3 linked regions of the Saccharomyces cerevisiae S288C genome follow. Changing the gene in region 1 together with any one later gene gives a genetic interaction. Each region holds a gene or a part of one and is shown in the gene's direction. Other genes may lie near its edges.

The links. Genes that interact genetically often act in the same process or in processes that back each other up.
Region 2: mutations in SPE2 (region 1) and HOL1 together harm fitness more than expected from each alone (negative genetic interaction), as found in Saccharomyces cerevisiae (3 studies listed by BioGRID, with this or other methods).
Region 3: mutations in SPE2 (region 1) and PAU17 together harm fitness more than expected from each alone (negative genetic interaction), as found in Saccharomyces cerevisiae (2 studies listed by BioGRID).

The regions. Positions count from the first base shown.
Region 1 is NC_001147.6:229,642-235,212, reverse strand, and holds SPE2 (adenosylmethionine decarboxylase SPE2), read left to right. Parts: upstream 1-1,576; coding exon 1,577-2,767; downstream 2,768-5,571. Other genes in the region: GAL11 (Gal11p), read right to left, coding at 1-273; DDR2 (Ddr2p), read left to right, coding at 3,458-3,643; AIM39 (Aim39p), read right to left, coding at 3,941-5,128; ubiquitin-protein ligase PSH1, read right to left, coding at 5,379-5,571.
Region 2 is NC_001146.8:727,926-732,844, reverse strand, and holds HOL1 (Hol1p), read left to right. Parts: upstream 1-2,658; coding exon 2,659-4,419; downstream 4,420-4,919. Other genes in the region: BIO5 (Bio5p), read left to right, coding at 1-1,227. UniProt on the Saccharomyces cerevisiae protein: Seems to be involved in the uptake of several cations and of histidinol.
Region 3 is NC_001144.5:92,061-95,621, forward strand, and holds PAU17 (seripauperin PAU17), read left to right. Parts: upstream 1-2,686; coding exon 2,687-3,061; downstream 3,062-3,561. Other genes in the region: Hsp70 family chaperone SSA2, read right to left, coding at 3,506-3,561.

The DNA.
Region 1 (5,571 bases):
AGCAGCAGTAACGGCGTTTTTCCTCGTATTGTACGTGTTGCGCATGACAGCAACTTTTTCGTTCATGCTGTCCATGTATTCTTTCTTTGAAGAGCTCTTTGCGAACAAAGCTGCCTCGAAGTTTTTGGCATGAATTCTTATCTTATCAGCAGTGTCGGAGCTCCCTCCGTTCAGAGTGTTAATGTCCATGAGCACCTGAAGCAACCCGTTGACGTTCTTCGCACGCTCGGCATTGGACAGAGTGTCTTTGTCTTGGACAGGAGCAGCAGACATAGCAGATTTAAAAGAAATAGCGTTTTAATCCTTGATCTTTGAGTACGGCACTATACGAAACGATACGCTTATAAAAATGGGGTTTAACTAACAAAGAAAAATATACCAGCACAAGTATATAGCAATGTCGTGGAAGTACTTCTTTGTGGAACCAGCTGTTTCCAGAGACAAATTCCTAGTCCTTGTGAATGGTTGACTATTAAAAGTTTGACTGTAAAGGTTAAGCACCTTCATCATCCTCATCCATAATATAATTTTCTGATCGACGCAACCGGGGCCGGGGTGGAAGGAAGGCCCGATTCGAAATAAAAAAGAGGCCGCCACAATGTAGGGTAATGCCTAATTATATTAACTAGAGACTGACTGAATCATATTACTTAGTTACTACTACTCTTATCATGCAAGAAGATGTGAAAAAGCGTCTTCCCCCAAATCATATAACTTCTGCACCATCCGTGGACTGTACAGGTTCAGCGGGGGAATATGTAATTGCTTGTTAGGATTGCTCTTGGGACCGTAGTATCGCGACAAGGAAGTCTGTGTAGTTCCACTTGATGTGGGCTGCCTCGCCGCTTCTTTTGCAGTCCCTAACCTTATATAGATGCGCACGCGCCAAAGCATGAGGGTACTCCATCATGTCTGTTGCACAAATATCGTAGGTTACTTGACGCTAACGTCATGTTTGATGCTCCGTTAACGAAGAGAATCGGAGCTCTTCATCTTAATCAGGCTCTTTTATAGCTCAATCATCAGTGGAAAAAATTCTTCGAACTAGAAAAAAATCAAGAAGTGAAAAAACTAAAACCGCCAACTGGCTACCCGGATAAGCCCCATAATGGCGTTCCTAGGGCTAGAAGAATTTCAAATCGATGACAGCTGATAGAAAGCGCCAGAGATATGTAGCCTTCCATCAGTAGTAATATCCAATAAATTGGGCACCATGGTTTGGCAATCAGGCTTTTTACCCTCGCCCTCTTTTCCTTCGCCTTTTACCTCTTCTGCATCCAATTTCAGCGTACGTACACAATGATTGACTTTGGAAATTTTCACTTTTTTCCACTCGAAGAAAAAAAATTCCAAACACGGTTCTCCGGTATTTAGGCATCGAATAAACTTTGCTAATCGACTAAAAGCATCTCTGCATATCTATACGTGTATATATTGTATTCGCTACAGCTCGCTCCTTGCATCAACTCTTTTTTTCTTTTTTTTCTTCCAGGTTAATCAATTACTGTACTGTAGCTTCTTTTTTATATTTTTTAGGTTTTCATATAGTGTCTTACGCAAATAGGCGGACCATAGAATGACTGTCACCATAAAAGAATTGACTAACCACAACTACATTGACCACGAACTATCAGCCACTTTAGACTCAACGGATGCGTTCGAGGGTCCCGAGAAGTTGCTGGAAATCTGGTTCTTCCCTCACAAGAAGTCCATCACGACCGAAAAGACATTAAGAAATATTGGCATGGATAGATGGATCGAGATTTTGAAATTAGTGAAATGCGAAGTTCTTTCCATGAAGAAGACTAAAGAACTGGATGCCTTTTTGTTGAGTGAGTCTTCCCTCTTCGTCTTCGATCACAAATTGACGATGAAGACGTGCGGTACTACAACCACATTGTTCTGTCTCGAAAAGCTTTTCCAGATCGTTGAGCAAGAGTTATCGTGGGCTTTCCGCACAACACAAGGGGGCAAGTACAAACCATTTAAAGTGTTTTATTCTAGACGATGTTTCCTTTTCCCCTGTAAGCAAGCCGCTATCCATCAAAACTGGGCTGACGAAGTCGACTATTTGAACAAATTTTTCGACAATGGTAAAAGTTATTCCGTGGGAAGAAATGACAAGAGCAACCACTGGAACCTGTACGTCACCGAGACGGACCGCTCCACACCTAAGGGAAAGGAGTACATCGAGGATGACGACGAAACTTTCGAAGTACTGATGACGGAGCTGGACCCAGAATGCGCTAGTAAGTTTGTTTGCGGGCCTGAGGCATCCACAACCGCTCTCGTGGAGCCAAACGAAGATAAGGGCCACAACCTCGGCTACCAAATGACTAAAAATACAAGGCTTGACGAAATATATGTCAACTCGGCCCAAGACTCCGATTTATCATTTCACCACGATGCATTTGCGTTCACGCCATGTGGATACTCATCCAATATGATTCTCGCTGAAAAATACTATTACACCCTGCACGTGACTCCGGAAAAGGGTTGGTCTTACGCCTCTTTCGAAAGTAACATACCCGTATTTGACATTTCCCAAGGGAAGCAAGACAACTTGGACGTTCTTCTACATATTCTGAACGTTTTTCAACCAAGAGAGTTCTCGATGACCTTTTTTACCAAAAATTATCAGAACCAATCCTTCCAAAAACTACTAAGCATCAACGAGTCACTGCCCGACTACATCAAGTTAGACAAAATTGTTTATGATCTGGACGACTACCACCTTTTCTATATGAAATTGCAGAAGAAAATATGAAAAGCCGCCATTTGTGTCTCCTCATACTTACATAGAATAGCCCTCTTCTATTATCCTTCGCTTGCTTTCTAGCACTCATAACTAATGTAGTTTAACCCGCTTGTATATCTTCTACATCATTACCCCGCATGCTTTTTTTTTTCCTCTAGAGAAAACCGGCACAGATTGGCCGGACCCGGAACAGGAAAAATGGCCACTGAAAATTCCTGGCCAGACCACCCCTGAGCTAAGGGAGTTTAGCCGCTCAAGCTTTTATTTCCTCTGATGTAATATATCACACACCCAGACACGGTTGCCAAGGCCTCGACGGAAGGCCGCTTCAAGGGACGGGGCAGTGGCTATCAGAAATACCTTAATATCATCAATATTTTTCATCAATCGCAAGGTGTCAAACATCAATAAAGGATGATGCTCAAAGGTTTATGCCCGATGTTCTTCTAATCCCCTTTCTCTCCTAAAATAATCCTTTTTTTACTCTTCTTCTTTTCCCCTGTTTCCATTTTTGTCTTTTCTCACCCCTTATGGGACATCAATAATGCAAGTATGTTTATACATTTTTATATAAATGTATATATAAATGCCATTTCTTACACATAACCTCCATTCTTTGGTTAATTCTTTCTTCATTCTTTTTTTTTTCATTCTGAAAAGCCCTCCAAGCAAGCACGCTAATTTAATATCGATTTAAACATGAAAGTATCACAAGTTTTCATTTCTGCCATCTCTGTCTTCGGCCTCGCTACTAGCGTAAATGCTCAAAACGCATCCAACACCACGAGTAACGCTGCTCCTGCTTTGCACGCTCAAAATGGTCAACTACTAAACGCCGGAGTCGTCGGTGCTGCTGTTGGTGGTGCTTTGGCCTTTTTGATTTAGGAAAAACGCCGCTTACTGCCACGATGATGATACCCTATTGACGTTTCTGAAATGTATAATTTCTTTTCTCATCTTCCCCTTTGATATTCCATCTATAGGCCCCAGAGTAGTAAATTTGGTGCTTTAATTTTTTTTCTCTTCTTCCAGTTCGTCTCTATTTTTTCATTCCATTATATTTATTTATCAGTTTTACTTTCTCAAATATTCTTATATAACACTATTTCATCTACGTAACCGAAAATAAGTAGTTTAATAACGATAATAATCATAATTGTGATAAAAATATTTACATTTTTCTTACTTGTCGCCCGCTTCGTTTTTGTATAGAACGTACTGTATTAGTTGTCCGTTCTTTTCACGTCTGAAGAGGTCGATTTCTTGCAATTTAACATCAACGTGGTATTTTCCATTATATACAATCAAAGAATCATCGTCCAGTTCGATTTCGCCATGAAACCAAAGGTGTAATGCATGTGAGTCCCCCTGCAGTGGGTATTCGTACTTGAACGACCCGTATACCCTCTCCGGCGATATAATCTCAAATAAATCGGCTGTTTCCAAACCAATGCGGTTCAGTAAATCGTCGATGGTTCCCCGTATACTTATTGGCCGATGCGTTATCCTCCATTTGCAAACAAAGGGTATTCTATACCAAGTGTGCGAACTATCCCTTTTATCGTCTGGCTCCATTACAATACCAGTTACACATGGATCTTGATCTTCGCACCACATGCTGAATTCATTTAACGTGGGTGAATTGCCATCTTTATCAAGCAATGGTACTCCGTATTGTTCCTTGATCATGTCATGACCGGATAATATCTCTAAAACCCTTAATTTAGAAAGCTTCTGTACTTGGTTTACGTCAACCTTTTTCAAATCTCTGGTACTCAGTTTACGTATCTTGGATGATGGAAACAATGGTAAGAAACTTTGTTCCTTTAAATATATCACTCTATAGATTAGTGAGTATCCTAATATCACACCGAATATACCACCAAATATGGCGGACCATATTTGCTTTCGGCGCTTGTTTCGCTGATGTGTTATTGCTTGACCAATGCTTCTCAAGTCCTCTCCTTTTATGTTAGGACTGTGTCCCTCTTCAATTTCCCCCAACTTCGTCTGTTGCTGTTGATGTGGCGTCGTAAAAAAATGCTTGCCATCATGGACATGCCTTTTCGACTCTGTCAATGAATTTCTTTTAGTTGTAATGCTTTTATTCAAGGTATTCAACCTTACATGACAATAGGTAGGCGCCTGGGTAAATAAGCATATACTTCTCGCGGACAGTAGAGATGTGTTAGCATTACGTAGAATCGCAAACCGTATCATTACCCCTTTTTCCTTCTTCTTGCAATTGAATACAGGAAACAGTTGCTTTGTCTTATGTTCGCTGCCACTCTTCTTTGGTTTTAATGCTTTGTTTCTCTCCTGCACTTGAATTTTATTGCTCGGAAAATGCTTCTTGCATAACCCCCACATAATTGGGCTGATTAACGTGACGCTAAAAAAATACCAATAGCAGTCCCAAAAAAAAAAAAAAAAAGATTCACATATGTATTGATTTTACTTTACGAAATTCTTGACCTATTTATATCATAAACGAGTGCTTATATTTCCGATCCTACTATCGCTTAAAAATCTTAATGTAATAAGGATAGAAAGGAAATTTTTTAAAAACATACATAAAAGTTCCGTACATATGCCGTTCCCGCTAGTTAAAATGTTCAGATTATTCATCGTCACTGTCTCCTAGAACTACACGGAAGCGTTTCTGCCTTTTCGGTTGTGGGTCATCTAATTCTTCCGTGTTATCGTCATTGTTATCCTTGACATCGCTGGAGCCGGAATACGAAAGTGAACGATCTTCGGAATCAGAACTCGATTGTATCCGTGTAACCTCCTTCTGATCCTCATCAAGGCTA
Region 2 (4,919 bases), on another chromosome or scaffold:
GTTTCTTCTAAATTTCAAAAGGTTTCTTCCATGGTTGTAGGGTTGCTGAACTATTTCGGTGCCATTTTTACTACCGCAAGTATCTGCTCATCTTTGTCAATGAGCTGTATCGGTATTCATAAGTTGTTGCATCCGGACTACGAGTTAAAGCACTGGCATGTTTTTGTGGGTTACGAGTGTATCAATGCCGTTTTGACACTTTTCAACATTTATTCAACTCCGTTGCCCTATATCTCTCAGTTTGGGCTCTATACGTCTCTATTGTCTTTCGCCATGACTTTCATTATTTGTATTGTTTCAAGATCTGACAACACCGTAGACCCATGGCCCAAAGCTTCTAATATATTTGGGAGCTTTGATAATCAAACAGGCTGGAATTCGTCTGGAATGGCGTTTGTTGTCGGTTTGGTCAATCCGATCTGGGCATTTGTTGGCATTGACTCTGCTACGCACATGATTGATGAAGTGGGTTATAGTAAGTCACGTTTCTTAGTTCCCAAAGTTATTATCACTACCATCATTGTGGGCTTTGTAACTAGTTTTATTTATTGCGTTGGTTTGTTTTTCTGCATCACTGACCAAACGGCAGTCGTTGAGTCTATTTTACCTATCGTAGAAATATTTTACCAGGCCACTGGTAATAGGAATCTCAGTGTCTTCCTGCAATGTATGTGTATCACAACAGGTTTTGTTTCAGGCATTGCAAGTGGAACCTGGCAAAGTCGAATCCTCCAATCATTCGGGAAAAGTTACGCACCATTTTATAAAGAGGGTTCCTTGGGAAACAAATCCTTGAAGAAGCTAGCAGTGTTGACACCTGGGTTTAAGTCTCCATTATATGCCCATTTTTTGTCACAAATATGTGTAACGATAATTGGCTGTATATTTATGGGATCTAGTACCGCTTTCAACGCAATTATCACTGCATGCATCACCCTGTTACTAATGTCGTACGCAGTTCCTTCTTTTATATTCCTGTTCGTTATTAAAAAGGAAAAATTCATTCATAGAATCGAGAGTGACGTAAATTGTGTCAGCAGGCCTAACCGTCGTCGTATGTCTATGATTCCTCATATTATATGTATTCTATGGACCTTGTTCTGCCTGGTATTTTTATCTTTCCCATATACACTACCGGTTACTGCAGGAAACATGAATTACACCTCAGTAGTGTATGCAGTAGTTTTCTGCATTATCAGCATCGTTGTTTTCCCTACATGCATCTAAGATGCTGTTGAAAGAAAAACAGTCCTTATAAATTCCTAGGTCGATACTACCTTTTGTAGCTCTATCGTCAGAACTTCTGCCCTCCTGTATCATAGTTTCATAAAATAATTGTATATTTATTACCAGAAGTACCCTTGTATTACAAAACTAATCGCACACCACAAAGAGTAAAAGTAGGTACCATAGCAGCAGCGCTTAACCTATTCTCCGTCAGTATGAATGAAATATGTGGATTTCGATTACGATTCATTATAAGATCAGAACACATAAAGCCATTTTACTGAGCTATCTCAACTGCACAAACCATAACAAGTAAAAACTAGCTAGTGTAATTAGGAGATTATCGAAAGTCCTGGTCAAGCAGCAAGTTGGGCGAAAGTGTATTTTTGGTCCTTAAATAGTCCCGATTATGGGAAAATTACAAGTCATGACAAAATTTATTTTATAGGTGCACAAAATAGTCTGTAGATATTTTAATATCAAAAGAAAAAAGACGTATTCGCATGATAGTATATACCAAAGAAGAACGATTCAGAGAATGAATGTGGACAAGTTTTTTTGAGGAAAATGAAAACTAGAAAATCAAGGATATTGAGTACTTAGTCATTTTTTTCATTTTTTTCTTCGAGAAAATTTCTTTTTCATTACTTACTTATTTTTGCCAAGACATTTTTTTATCTTTTAAAATATATTCAAATAGTTCTTCTCTGAACAGAATTTTTCTCTCTTATGATGTACAATTACTTTCTTAAGTCACATATAATACCACACAATGCAAAAATTTCATGCATCAGCTCTCTAAGCTTTGAGAAATGTGTAGTTTGACGTTTACATCAAGGCCTGGTTGTGTCATATGAAATTCTACGGATATTTTTAGGGAGCTTTCGCCTAGCGAGAACAAAAGCATAACAAAAAAAGTTGCAGTTGATGAAAATTTTCTTTTTAGGATAAAGTTATTTTCCAGACAGAAAATTAAACTAAAGACCTCGCCGTTAACAAACCATAGTAGTTTAGACTATTTCCTAACCTTTCTATAGATTCATTTAATTGTCTATTGTCTTCAATCTAAACGATAAAGATAAATACGCAGTCGAATAAGAAAGAATTATCTGTATCAGTCTCTGAGGTAATATTTACTGAACCTCCTCTGCAAAAATAAAACAAGCCCATTTTGTTGTCGAAAGCGCTAGCATCCTTAATTTTACGATACTATTTCATGCTATTACTACCAAGTTGACATCCCTTATTATCTTATTTATTTGAAACTAGAAGAATAGCAAGTAAACACTAAATCCGAAAGAATCGAAGTATCATATTACAATCTACAGGATATAACAAAACAGCTTCGCAACTTTTGCATTTCTAACGAATATAAAGAAAAGAACTACTATAGAAGAAAGTTTGCGAGTGTGAATCTTAAATTTTTAACAGATGGACAAATATACCAACAGGGATCATCCGGACTATATTCCTGGCACATTTAACATCTATTCTTCCCAAAATTTGGAAAATGGTATTATATACGAATCAAAATTGAAGAAAACCTCCTCAGGAGTCGTCCTAATCCCTCAACCATCATACTCGCCAAATGATCCACTGAACTGGTCTAGCTGGAGGAAATTGGCTCATTTTGGTCTAATGGCCTTTATAACTGCGTTTACCGCCGCTACTAGTAACGACGCTGGTGCTGCTCAAGACTCATTGAATGAGATTTATGGGATATCCTACGATTCCATGAACACAGGGGCTGGTGTTCTTTTCCTAGGTATTGGTTGGTCCACTTTATTCTTGGCTCCATTTGCTAACTTGTATGGCAGGAAGATTACGTACATAGTTTGCACCACATTAGGTCTCTTTGGTGCGCTTTGGTTTGCTTTGGCCAAAAGAACGAGCGACACAATATGGTCTCAGTTGTTTGTAGGTATTAGTGAGTCCTGTGCTGAAGCCCAGGTGCAACTGTCCCTGAGCGACATTTTTTTCCAGCACCAATTGGGCTCCGTATTGACCGTGTATATCATGTGCACTAGTATCGGTACGTTCTTGGGCCCATTGATCGCTGGGTACATATCTGCATTTACCAACTTCCGTTGGGTCGGTTGGGTCGCAGTGATCATATCTGGTGGCCTTTTAATAACTATTATATTTGGCTGCGAAGAAACGTACTTCGACAGAGGCCAGTATATGACCCCTTTGACCAGCTGTCAATCGGGATACGAAGACGGTACCACTTTACAAAACTCTGACAATACGGCCGTGTCGCGCAGGAAACGTCATCTTGACGCTAAATTATCAACTCCTGGAGCCATGGGTGAGAAAGGTGTAGACCTTTCAGAGACGGCTGAATTCGAAGTTAACAATGAAGAGGAAGTTACCATACCTGAGACTCGCGAATTGATTGATGGTTCAAAAGAGCATTTGAAACCATACCCAAAAAGAGTAGCAATATTAACCAAAGCTACTAATTTGAAAGGCTACGGTTTTAAACAGTATTTCAAATATCTAAAGATCAACCTTAGAATGTTCTTATTCCCGCCAGTGTGGTTGTCTGGTATGTTTTGGGGTATTCAAGACGTTTTCCTGACGTTTTATTTGACCACTCAAGAAAGCGCCTACTACGAACCTCCATGGAACTATAGTGATTTTGGTGTCGCAATTATGAATGTTCCCACACTTATTGGAGCAGTCATCGGTTGTATCTGTGCTGGCATTGTTAGTGACTACTTTGTTCTTTGGATGGCTCGTCACAATAGAGGAATTTTAGAGGCAGAATTTAGACTATACTTCTCTATCGCAACTGCAATTATTGGGCCAGCGGGTTTGCTGATGTTTGGTATCGGTACCGCTAGACAATGGCCTTGGCAAGCTATATACGTCGGGTTGGGTTTTGTTGGGTTTGCATGGGGTTGTTCTGGTGATATTGCGATGGCGTATTTAATGGATTGTTACCCCGATATGGTTTTGGAAGGTATGGTTTGTACTGCTATTATTAACAACACGATATCTTGCATTTTCACCTTTACCTGTTCTGATTGGCTAGCTGCATCTGGTACTGAAAATACTTACATTGCTTTAGCTGTCATCAACTTTGGGATTACTGCATTTGCTTTACCAATGTACTACTATGGTAAGAGGATAAGACTTTGGACTAAGAGATGGTATTTGCAATCTGTCAATTTGAGAGACGGTGTGTAATTCAGAGACGTCTTTCTTGTATCTAGTAGATGATAGGAATTAAGTATTTTTTTTTTACCTAACTAGGATTATAATTGCAACAACAAAAGCGCCCTTCGTGAAACACGTGGGATACCGGTTAGGTAATATTACAGTTTCCTTACACACTTACTAAATACGCAACAGAGCATGTTATTAATCGTATATTTAAGTAATAATAACGTATTGACCATTCCTAAGACTGAAGCAGTACCAAGAAATGGCACTTTTTGTTTATATGACATAGTAAAAGTGTTCATTTGGCAGAAAACAAGGGTATCTGGATACTGCAATCCTCATTAGTTGCGGAGAGCTTTTTTAAAGTTTTATTACTTCGATAATGCTTTCCTCCAGAACTGGGCGCGCACTGAAGCCATAAACTGAGTGGTTGTCCCTGTGTATATTCTACAATCGCCTATTTGAAACTTCTGGGTGATAATATCGATTTAGCGATTGGGTTTCTCCCTTCTGAGATTCTGGAT
Region 3 (3,561 bases), on another chromosome or scaffold:
TGAATTTTGAGGTAATTGTTGGGATTCCATTGTTAATAAGGGCTATAATATTAGGTATACAGAATATACTAGATGTTCTCCTCGAGGATCTACGAATCCTCATAATGGAATCAATATTTCTATATACTAATATTACGATTATCCCTCATTCCGTTTTATATGTTTCATTATCTTATTACATTATCAATCCTTTCACTACAGCTTCCTCTAACCTCGATGACAGCTTCTCATAACCTATGTCATCATCTAACACCGTATATGATAATATAGTGATAGTTATAACTATTAGTTGATAGACGATAGTGGATTTTTATTCCAACAGATATAAGAATTACAAAAAGAGAACTGTTATTTCTACATAATAATATTACGATTAGTACTCCTTTTATATGTTTCTTTATCCATTTACATTATCAATCCTGATTAAAATTCCCACGAACCCCCAGTACTAGATTGTTCATAATGGATCAAGTTCACAAGTTAATAAGGGCGTGTGGTCTAGTGGTATGATTCTCGCTTTGGGCGACTTCCTGACTAAACAGGAAGACAAAGCATGCGAGAGGCCCTGGGTTCAATTCCCAGCTCGCCCCTTTATTTTCTTTTTTTGGACCCAAAGCACTAGCTTAGGCTGTCCATCTTTGTTCTTGATTCTAAAGATCACAGTAGAATAATGGTTTATTTCTTAGAGTTCTACAAGTTTTAGCGTACTACTGAACAATGAATGTCCTGATTTTTTAAAACTCGCGCATATTTGGAGGCCATATCGTGCCACCAACTTTACTACAGTCAAACACCTGTGCCCAATTCTACCACTTATTAAACAATTACTTAGTAAGATCAGCAAGCGGTTCATCTGTCCCCCATTCATATATGGCTTTCACCCTCTTTACCTGTTTGAAACAGAAAAAAAATTACAACTAATGGTATGCAATTCATAAAGCATAGGCCAAAAGACCCTGATACAGATATATGCTAAAACAATAATTATAAAGGATTATGCCGTAGGAAGGCTGAGAATCCTCAGTTTGTGCACTTTGAAATTCAAAATACAAAAAACTGTTGACAAATTAGTATCATAACTATCTATCGCATATATTCACGTCACATACCGCCTCTGTGGCAATTGACAACACTTATCCCTATCAAAGACAATACAAAGTATTTGTTACCGAGTGAGATTATTTAGTACAATATGTGGGTAATAAAAACTAATCGGAGATATTTTTTTACGTTTTTTGATGCAAACGCAATAAATTCTTGATTTTTGAAATTTTGCAGGACATCAAGATACGTTTCTTTTAAGCAGTTTGGATTGCTTCTTTCGTTCCGAAAGTAAAACGTAATGAAAACCCCTATAGTATTGTGACGCGTTTTCCAACTCTGCCCTTAGCTTGATTTGACGGCTTAGAACAAAGGAACAGTAGCACGAACACTTCAAGTGCAAATGACAGTTTAATTGTGGGTAAAAAAGGTAGCCTCAAAGTTGCATTTTTTATGGACTGTAAAGAACATACGATTGTTATACACTTTTGAACAACCAAGATGTACTACCTCAATTGTAGTGAATTAATGTCGAAATTTGTTAGATGCCCCGAATAAATAGTAACTTTATTTAGGGAAAGCACTCGAATTTTTGTTATTACGGTCACGCCATATTTTAGCATGTACTTAGTAAAAGACCCATTTCGCCATCACTATTTTTACCATTTTTTTCTATACGATTTGGGAGCAAATACCTGAACTGCACACTAATGGACATAATCACTTGGTTGAAAAAGTACTATAGTAGACTATACGTCGTACGCTGCAATCTATTTTAAGCACAGAAAGCATCCTTCGTATGATAATATAACCTTTTTGGTAACAGAGTTACCATTGAAGCGACATTGCAGTGAAACTTGTTTCAAGATGTAGTTGGGAGGAATTATGTGTTGAGTTCGTCCACTTTATGAGCTCGAAGATAACGAGAAAATTGCTAAGATGCCGGTGTTGGCTTCTTGCATATGAAGAGGCACCAATAAAACGATGCATTAATTCTTTATTACGGAAGTTCCGAAGCAGCGAAGAATGAAAAAGAATACAAGCGCTCATAATTGTCCTCGGTGGACATCATATACAGCATAAAAGTGTCTTTTTTAAGTTCTCTCCCCTAAAGATCACAAACTTCACGTAATTAGTAACGTGTAGACTACTAACCTTGAAAAAACGAACCCCTTTTCTGCCTAGCAACCGTTTAAGATATACCAAAAAAGGCAACTGTGATGACTTCTGAACGAGGGTCCACGCCAAGTCACGCCAAGTTTGTTTTCGGATCTTCTGCTAGCAGAAACTCAACACACCTACATGAAAGGTAAAGGGTTTCTTAGAAACATTCACTGTACCGTGCATTGTTCAAACCTGCGCGATTGCTTGGCAACGGCGAGAATTACATTACAAGAAGGTGTGCTTTCATAAACGAGAAGTAATAAACTTGTGTCGTTCAGAAACAATAGTATCTCATATTGGCTACAATGGAGAAACTTACGATGTGTATTCAGTATATTGGTTAGAAAACTGTAGTTTGTTAGTTGAAAAATTAATATAAATAGGGTGTTTTTAATCAGCTGTAATAGAAGTACATCCTCATCCTTCTTCTTCACTAAGCTCACATCATCACTAAAGCAACAACCAAAAAACAACAAATACAATGGTCAAATTAACTTCAATTGCTGCTGGTGTCGCCGCTATTGCCGCTGGTGTCGCCGCTGCACCAGCTACCACCACTTTATCTCCATCTGACGAAAGAGTTAACCTGGTTGAATTAGGTGTCTACGTCTCTGATATCAGAGCTCATTTGGCTGAATACTATATGTTCCAAGCCGCTCATCCAACTGAAACTTACCCAGTTGAAATTGCTGAAGCTGTTTTCAACTACGGTGATTTCACCACTATGTTGACCGGTATCCCCGCTGACCAAGTCACTAGAGTCATCACTGGTGTCCCATGGTACTCTACCAGATTGAGACCAGCCATCTCCAGCGCTCTATCTGCAGACGGTATCTACACTGCTGTACCAAACTAGGATTTGACGCCCTTACGAATAGAACTTTACGAGTATTAGAATGTTATGAATAAATGAAATTGGTTTCGACGGTATAGATGAATAAAGGTATTTTGAAAATTATAAAAAAAAGTTTTAATAATATAGATTTGGTAAAATAAATAGGCGTATATACACATTGTATACTGTTGATATTATCAAGTTTTTATTATTAAAGAGCTCTTTTTATTTTTTATTTATAGGGGAAAATGACCGATATTCCTAGTCTTCAAGTCACTATTATTTTTTTTTTTATTCATAAGTACAATTGAATAATATTATTGATTTTTTTATTATTGTTCTTATTCTTTTTTTATCATTTCTATATAAAATATTATATGATTTAGTTTATCGTAAAAAAATTAAAAAATACAGAGGAAAGCAAAAGTAAAACTTTTCGGATATTTTACAGGGCGATCGCTAAGCTTAATCAACTTCTTCGACAGTTGGACCTTCAGCTTCTGGAGCTGGAGGAGCACCAC